2 linked regions of the Mus musculus genome follow. The protein of the gene in region 2 binds, or shares a complex with, the protein of the main gene of each other region. Links are inferred from orthologs where the notes say so. Each region holds a gene or a part of one and is shown on either strand. Other genes may lie near its edges. The genes, in order: Ghrh and Ghrhr.

The links.
Region 1: the proteins of Ghrhr (region 2) and Ghrh are in contact, whole or in part, in a cryo-EM structure (PDB 7CZ5), measured with the Homo sapiens proteins. The link is inferred for Mus musculus from reciprocal best matches to the Homo sapiens genes GHRHR and GHRH. Residues at the interface, in NP_000814.2 of Homo sapiens: Leu119, Ala120, Glu122, Glu123, Phe126, Ser127, Val129, Lys130, Tyr133, Val179, Lys182, Leu186, Phe187, Asp190, Thr192, Asp193, His194, Cys195, Phe197, His210, Thr213, Phe217, Ala271, Cys272, Asp274, Leu275, Asp276, Trp282, Ile285, Ile289; in NP_066567.1 of Homo sapiens: Tyr32, Ala33, Asp34, Ala35, Ile36, Phe37, Thr38, Asn39, Ser40, Tyr41, Arg42, Val44, Leu45, Gly46, Gln47, Leu48, Ser49, Ala50, Leu53.

The regions. Positions count from the first base shown.
Region 1 is NC_000068.7:157,343,820-157,348,427, forward strand, and holds the start of Ghrh (somatoliberin preproprotein), read right to left. Parts: upstream 2,837-4,608; 5' UTR 2,753-2,836; intron 1-2,752. UniProt on the Homo sapiens protein: GRF is released by the hypothalamus and acts on the adenohypophyse to stimulate the secretion of growth hormone.
Region 2 is NC_000072.6:55,379,138-55,382,945, reverse strand, and holds part of Ghrhr (growth hormone-releasing hormone receptor precursor), read right to left. Parts: coding exon 3,755-3,808; intron 3,259-3,754; coding exon 3,161-3,258; intron 2,195-3,160; coding exon 2,097-2,194; intron 1,243-2,096; coding exon 1,110-1,242; intron 1-1,109.

The sequences.
Region 1 (4,608 bases), on a different chromosome or scaffold from region 2:
ATATAGGCTTTAAAAGAATTATAGAGGGGTGATGGTGGCATGTGCCACCTTTAGTCTCAGCACTCGGGAGGCAGAGGCAGGCAGATCTCTGCCTCTGAGGCCAGCCTGATCTACATACTGAGTTTTAGGACAGCCAGGACTAGGTAGAGGGCCCCTGTCTCAAATATATGTGCAAGTATCTGTGGAGGCCAGAAAAAAGCATTATATTCCCTATAATTAGTTACAAGTAGCTGTGAGCTGCCCAATGTGAGGGATAGGTGGGAACTGAACCCAGGTCCTTTGCAAGAAGAACAAGCACTCTCAACTGCTGGGCCATCTCTCTAGGCTCTCTACTTTATTCTCCAAGACATTCTTTTTGAACCTGGTGTTTACCAATTCCACTGGATCGGCTGGTCAGCAAAGTCGCCGGGAATTAAACTTACAGGGATGCTGTTTGACCTAGATTCTGGGGATCTGAGTCCCAGTGCTCAGACTTACATAGCTAATTCCCAATTGAGCGCCGTGTCGTCTGGTCCTTTGTGTGCTTCTCGGATGGATTGATTGATTCCTAATTCAACTGTTTAGGGTAGGGCCTAGGATTCTGGAGTATTAATCAAGGCCCTGATTTATTTTGATATGAACCTGGGTTTGTGGCTCCACCAGCAGGAAATATAGATAATTTAGACTAAGCTATGCAGGATATCAAATGCCACACTAAGGAAGTTAGTCATTTCTTGTTCTCCACAGAGAGAGGCCACTGGAGGCTCTAGAAGCCTGGTGGGATGGTTTGGGAGGCAGAACATTGGCAGCAGCCTGAAGGAAATGAATCCAGTCAGGAAGCCCAGGCCAGTGAGCCTAGGGCCTGAAGCAGTGCAAGGGTGGAAGGTAACTAAGGGAGGCTCCGCAAGATGAGTATAGGCTAGACCAGCACAGCCTGGACCATCATAGCCTGGACCAGCACAGCCAAGACCAGCACAGCCTGGACCAGTACAGCCTTGCCGAGCATAGCAGAGCAGCCAGGTGAGAGAAGTGAAGGGAAAGGATGCCCACTGAGTCTACGGATGACTGCAGGGAGGGTCAGGATGCTTGTGGGGATCAAGGAAGGGATGGGAGCACCATTTGCACATGTTGGGATTGGAGTATCATGAGACCTCCAAGAAACCCTGGGGACCAGGTGGCTGGGTCTGGTCCAGATCTTGGAAGTGAGAGTTGCTTCTCTAAGCTGCCTCCTTCTTCCCTCCCTTCCTTCCTTGAAGGGCACAGGAGTCAGAAGCAGGGTGGGGATGGGGAGACCTTGGTAAATTTACACCTACCTTCAAGACAGTGGAAGTGGATGTAGAAAAAGGGAATCCAGGCCAGTGAGATGGCGCAGCAGATAAAGGTGCTTCCCACGCAGACCCAAGCACTTCCATTCCATCCCTGGGACCCGCATAAGTTAGAAGGAGAGGGGGCAGCCCTGCAAAGTTGTCCTCTGACCTCTACACACACACTAATAACAAAGTCAAAAGGGCTGGAGAGATGGATCAGTGGTTAAGAGCACTGACTGCTCTTCCGAAGGTCCTGAGTTCAAATCCCAGCAATCACATGGTGGCTCACAACCATCTGTAATGGGATCTGACTCCCTCTCTCTTCTGGAGTATCTGAAGAGAGCTACAGTGTAATTACATAAAGATATAAAAGGAAGGAAGGAAGGAAGGAAGGAAGGAAGGAAGGAAGGAAGGAAGGAATTGAAAAGATCCCAGGGAGGAAGCAGCTGCTCTGTCAGCCTGGACCCAGAGGAGCAGATGCTCATCCCATAGAGATGGGATCTCAAAACTAAGATTCTCTTCTTGTCTGAGTCTCCCAGAGGCAAACCCCACCCTCAGGTTCACAACATCCAGATCTGAAGCCTGGGGGGTGAGAGGGAGAAGAAACAAATGGGTCCCTGCAAGAGAGGAGGGCAACTGCTTAGTGGGAGAACCCCGACGGAGCATCCCTGGGGTCCCGGGTTCCACCCTCAGCACCAGAAAAGGAATGAAGATCCGTGAGAGAAAGCCGGAGGAGACTGACAATTTCAGCGAGCAATTGTGGTGTTTGTCATCTCCCTCACTGGACTGTTTTGAAGCAAATCCCAGACTGGTAAATATTTCAGCACGTATCTCAAGCAAGAGAAGGGTTCTTTCTTTAACAGAGTCACAATCCCATTATCATCCTTTAAGGAAAGAAAGAGTCTAACGGTAATTCCTATAGAGGGCAATTTGACGAAGCCTCAGAATGGAAGCCAGGCCAACGGTCCTTAAGCCACAGCCATCACAAACCCATGATAAGGAATTTAAATTCTCCCAAGATAATTATAGCCAAGGTGAAGAGGAGATTGGAAAGGCAGGGATTTTAGAAGCTTTTGGGGGGGGGGCCTGGGAAGGAAATGTTATTTTAAAGGGTGGTGGGAATGAGGTATAGAAACATTTGTAGAACATAAAAGAAAAACGGTTTTCTTGATTCCATTTTTCTCACCCAGGGGCCTTTAGTCATAAATAAGAAACGGGTACCAGGTCTGAAGTGAACCAAATCAGATAAAAATAACAAAAGAGGAATGGCTAAATGCAACAAAAGAGATGGACCCAGCTCATTTCCCACCCAGGCTATGCAGTTCCGTGCACTTCACAAGGAAGGGTATTTAGCCATATTGCTGTTCATCAGAGGTCTGTGAACTCCTATGAACCAATTAGTGAGGATATTGTCCCTCAGTAGCGGCAGCAGGAGAGCTAGGTTCAAAATTTACATGTCTACTTACTCTGTGATGTTGTGGGAGCCAGATGAGCAGGGAGCCGCAACCAGGAGAGACCTGCGACCTGGAGAGCCGGCCTGGATCACCAGTGATGCCCAGGCCCTGACGATCTCATCTTAAGGCCAGCAGGAGCAGGACTCCTCCTTCTCTGCCCTGGGCCTGTATGTTCCAGAGCACGTACATGGCCTTTTGGCTCCACTTCTGCTACTCTGAGGTAGTCATCACCAGTTTTCGGGTTATAGGTTAAATTTCCTCTCTGAGTAAGGTCATGTCCAGATAGCAAGCACCTCAGGTCCTTTTCATGCAAATAAAATATTCCCTTCACTGTGGCCTTGGCCAGTGATGCACATTCTCTCTGAGTGCCCCTACTCACTCCCCAAAAGTTTAAATAGCATTTGTGCTCCTCAACTGAATGAGTTGCTCAGTAAAGCCTGCCTCCAGAGTCTGTTCGTTTTGTTTTGTTTTGTTTTGTTTTGTTTTGTTTTGTTTTGTTTTTTCAAGACAGGGTTTCTCTGTGTAGCCCTGGCTGTCCTAGAACTCACTCTGTAGACCAGGCTGGCCTCGAACTAAGAAATCTGCCTGCCTCTGCCTCCCAAGTGCTGGGATTAAAGGCATGCACCACCATTGCCCAGCCAGAGTCTGTTCTTGTTGGGCTCACAACAGCCTGAGGTTTCTATCACCTCCAGCCATTCCTGCCTTGATTTCCCATTTAGGCCACCAGTCAATTCCCTGGCATCGTGCCAATCAGGGAAGAGGAGCAGGTGGCACTGTTACTCTTTAATATTGGGCAAGTTAGAGCCTCTCTCTGAACTGATTTGTGAACCGAAGGTGGTAGACTCCAGATTTGATGCGCCAATAAACTACCTAATAAAGCGGTGTGCAGCTCCTGGGGTTCAGAACGTGTTCCTGGGACTTGGCTCGGTGTTCCGTGGCATCTGCAGAACGCTCCAATAAGCTCAATGAAAGGTGCCATGGAGACGCCTTGTGCTTATTATGCCGGTTCGTGCCTTGGAAAACAGTCAGGACTGTATTCTACGGACCCCTGGAAAGAAAACGGAAGGCAGCCCTTGGGGAGCCCCTAGGAGGTGGCTAGGAAGGCGTGCTGTCCGGATGCCGCTTCCAGCCATCCACAGATGGGCTGGGTTGCCCAAAGCCCAGGAAACAAATTGAACAAATCAGCTAAAATGACTGTCCAGTGTCCCGTTTCCACACACCATGGCACAGAAAGGGATTTGGTGGGTGGTTGCCAGGGACCGGGGACTGCAATGAAGCTAGAAGAGCGGGGCCTGACCGAGCATGCCGGATGTTGCTGTCCTCTGTTTCTGGATCCTGGGACAGGGGCCTGTGGAATTGTGTATGTCCAGAGCCTTAAGAACTGGTGTTGGAGAGGAGCCAGACAGAGTAGGCGAGAAACAAAACAGACTCTGTCCTATGTGCAGAAGAGAAGCCCTTTTCCCGAGTGAGTCTTGCTTCTGACAGGCTGCGGCATCTGGAGAGAGGAGACTCGACTCCAGCTGCTCCTGCTTCTATTTCTAGTTCCTCCAGTGGGCCTCGCCGGCTCCCATCACCAGGTCTCTTGCTCATCCAGCCCTCATCCAGGAAGGCAGCTAGCTCTTTGTCCCTGCCAGCCTCTGCTTAGAGCTTGGTGCTGACCGCTGCCCTCCCCTGCCTGCCTGTTTCCAACAAACTGCTGCATTTCAGACCCTTAAAAACAAAACAAAGCTGTACTGGCCACCACAGCTCTTTATGTACTTGTCTCTTCTTTTAATTTAAAAATTAAAATTTTATTTACTTTTATTTTTTAGTTTCTAACCTTTGTCTTTCCTCCTTTCTCTCTCTCTCTCCCCTCCCCCTTTCTTTTC
Region 2 (3,808 bases):
TCTCTCTCTCTCTCTCTCTCTCTCTCTCTCTCTCTCTCTCTCTCCCTCTCTCTCCCTCTCTCTCTCTCTCTTTCTCTCTCTCTCTCTCTCACACACACACACACACACATACACACTTTTCTATTTCCTCTGTCATAGTGCACCCTTCCCTAGCTGAAGTTCTCCTTTAAAGTGATAACCACGGACAGCGTTGATCAGTGGATATAGGATGTGTTCATCATGCATGCAACCATCTGGCTCACTCCTCCCTCACCTGCCTCTATGGGCTACGGTACCACCTCTGAGCCCAGTTGCCCAGGCTCTATTTATTCCCCAACTGTGTGGCTGGGTGACCTGGCCAACTGCCCCTCGTTAACAAAATGGGATTAAAGTGAGGCCTTCAAGGCGTTTTAAGATCAAAAGAGATAATACATGTAAAGTACTTGGTGTGCTGCCCGGCCTAAGTGAGTGCAATCAGTGATTAATTCATTAATTAAATCAGCCCACTTGTTGGTCCCGGTACTCACTTGTCTATTCATTTCCAGAACACTTTCAAAGACCTTGAACTCTGATCCCTTCAGTTTTCAATCTGTTCCTCTCCTCTCCTTTCCCCACCCCTCTACTTTTGCGACTTCCAATTTCTGGTGTGATGGCTCTCCTCTTATTAAAAGCTTCCTCCCCATCTCACTGCTTTTGGGCCCATGCAGCTCCAAGGCCACCTCCTCCCTGAAGCTCTTTCATTCTCTTAATTCTCTGCTTTCCCTACCCAGCAGTCCCCAGGTCTGAGTGCTTCCTGTCCCCTGAGTGCTTCTGGAAGGAGGGGCCAAGCTCCACCCAGGTCCTTGCACACTCATTAAAGGCAATGACATGGCTGGCTGGCACAGGAGCTGCTGTGACCAAGTTGAAATGGAAACATTGATGAAAGAGGAATGATGGTGTGGGGCGCCCCTAGCAAAGGGAGCTGCTCGTATGGACACTGATCTATGAATGCGTGGGGAGAGCTTGAGGCTTCCTTCCCTTGTCACAGCCCTTGTCACAGCCTCAGCCTGTGGAGCAACAGGTCAGGCACACTCAGGCCTGTCTTCTGCCCTCTTCCCCCTGCCCCAACTCCCTCCAGTCACAGTCTTTACAGTGGACATGCTGCAGTGGTCCGTGCTATCCCCCTGGAAGATGGCGGCATCCTTCAAGAACACAGCACTGGCCTTGAGGATGAAGGTGGCAAACAGCTGCGTGTGGATGTAGTTCCTGGGGCAGTGGAGCCTCCTGAAAGGGGCAAGAGAGATGAACATAGAGGCCTGACTGCAGAAGACCTTCCCAGGGCCTAGACCAAGACTGGCATGGCTGGGAAGCTGCACAGAAGTGAGCCAAGACAGAGTGGCCAAAGCCACATCAAATAAAATGAGACCCAATGAACTGGGTAGAAAGTGAGACAAATGTGTCAGTTTGACCTTGAAGGTCAGCTGGCCAGCATTTTCCTGGCCTAAGTTCAGGTAAGGAGCAGGGGTTTCTTATATCCCTGCCTTTAGACGGTTTTGTAACTGTGGGTTACAAGAGCCTAAGGGAGCCTCTAATGATCAGAGAGCTACCCTCTGAGGCATAGTCCCATGGGGGAACTCAACCTTTGAAGCCTGGAAAGCCATTACACCCAGCAGTAAGGGATGAGGGTGAACTTGGTGGTGGAGGCCATTTGGGGAACCCTGGGTTCAATCCCTGATACTGAAAAGAAAAAAAATGATACCAAAAAGTACTACAATGGTCAGAATGTTGCAACCATTAGAAAAGGGCCATGCAGGGGTCAAGGAGATCTCTTAGAACTGGATGAGAGCTGGGCTTCCAGTGTTGGCAGGGGTGAACACACCACCAAGGAAAAGAAGGCATTGGGAGCAAACAGGAGGAGATCCGCATGAGGAAAGGTGTGGCCAGAGAACAGAGGCCTGCTGTGTGAAGAGAGGGCCCATCTGTGTGGCTTGGGGTGGGGTGAGGGGAGCAAGAGGTCAACAAAGGTCATCTCGCCTGGATCTGAGCCCCTCTTGACTATGCAGGCCAAGAACCAGACTTGGTCCCCAGGTAGTAGGGAGGCAGTGATGGTTCTTGAGCAAATGGCAAGGGTGGCAAACCTGAGGGCAACCAGGATGGCAATAGCCACGCAGAGGGCTACAATGGAGATGCTGTGGCCCGTGGTGTAGATGATCTTCACCGTGGAGAAGTACGATTTCTGGGGAGGGGGGCAATAGAAGCAGAAGAAAGGTTTGGCAATCAAGCAGGAGTCTGGCAACGCCACCAGCTTCCCAGGCACTGATACCACAGAAAGCCTCGGACAGACACTGCCCCTCAGATAGAGATGCTCAGATAAGGATTCCCAGTTGCAATGGGAGTGGGAGGAGCCAGCAGAAGCTACCTGGCTCTGGAGAGCGGCAAAAGCACAGGAGGAAGTTGGGCCTGATTATTGACACCAGCTTGAGTACACGGTCACCCCCATATACAGGCAACCTCCTGGACACCAGGAACAGCCACAGGCAGGCGGGGAAAGGCTCTTTGGGACCCAAGTATTTGAATCAGTTAGAGCTAGGGGCGTAGTATGACCAGGTACTGCCACTCCGGCTTGCTGTTCATCTCAAGCCATCCCTGTGCTTCTCTGACCTGTCTCTTCATCTGAAAGGTAAGTACACCAGGGTTTTTGCTCTTAGGGCCGAGGGCAGGGAGAAATGGGATTGTGAGTGTGGATGGGCCTTGAGAAGACCCTGAGCTGTGCACAGTGTAAAGTATGATGTCCAGAGCTAGGGGTCTCTGTAATGACTACACCCTGGAGTTTTACCTGCTTGCCCATACCACAGCCCAGTATACTGTACCACTGGTGGAGGACCAGAGAAAACAAGCACATCCTGTCTAACACAGCAGCAATCTTTATTCCCTCTGAAATAACTAAAGCTCCGCCCCACCCCCACCCCACCCCCATCCTGCACCAAAAACTAGGAAGAGAAAAGGCTGGCCAAGAGGTGGATGACTATGGCTTCCAGTCTGCCTCTGCTTCCCTTCTCCCTCACCCTTAAGTAAATGGACCAGCTTCAGGAGGCATCTCCTGCCATCTGCTGGACAGCTCCTGTAATTACTACATCCACGGGGTGATTACAGTGGGGATGATAGGCATCCATTGAGATAGTAAACTACATACAGGGCTTACCTCCTTGGTTAACAGTTCCAAGGGCACAGGGCAAGCCACAGGGTATGGTGGGAAGGGATTAGACCAGCCAGTGATGGTGCAGTCCCTCTTCACAAACCCTAGAGGCAAAGAAGAGTCTCTGCTTATAGAATTCCTCCCTTTCCCAGAAGATGGTGGGAAGGTTCTGTGAGGTATATACACGTTCTTAACCACAAGGACAGAAGAGTCCTCTTGTCCCATGGCTTGGGTTCTGGACTGGTGTAGTCTGTCTCTGTTCTCCAGGAAAGCTCTGCTGAGTGGAATGATGGACCTCTACATCCTAAGGGCAGGAAGTATGACACCCACCCCCTTCCCATAAGAGACAGGAAGGACAGCAGGTGAAGTGGACGATGAGGTGTTCCCCACCCTCATCAGTATGGTACCACCTCCCTTTCTCCAGTGTCATCATTAATCCTGCACTGGGAGGTTGGTGCTATCAGTCATCGTTCAAGATGACTAAATTTTTCAGGGTAACACTAGAAGATTGAAATCCAGGATAGTCCATCACCGAACCAGTAATGTGCAAACCAGAAGGAACCACATGCTGTGCGTCCCTGCCTTAGCTAGGCCACTCACCTGTGTCTGAGCCGAAGTGAGAGAAGAATTCAGGGCAGGGGAGAGAGACCCACT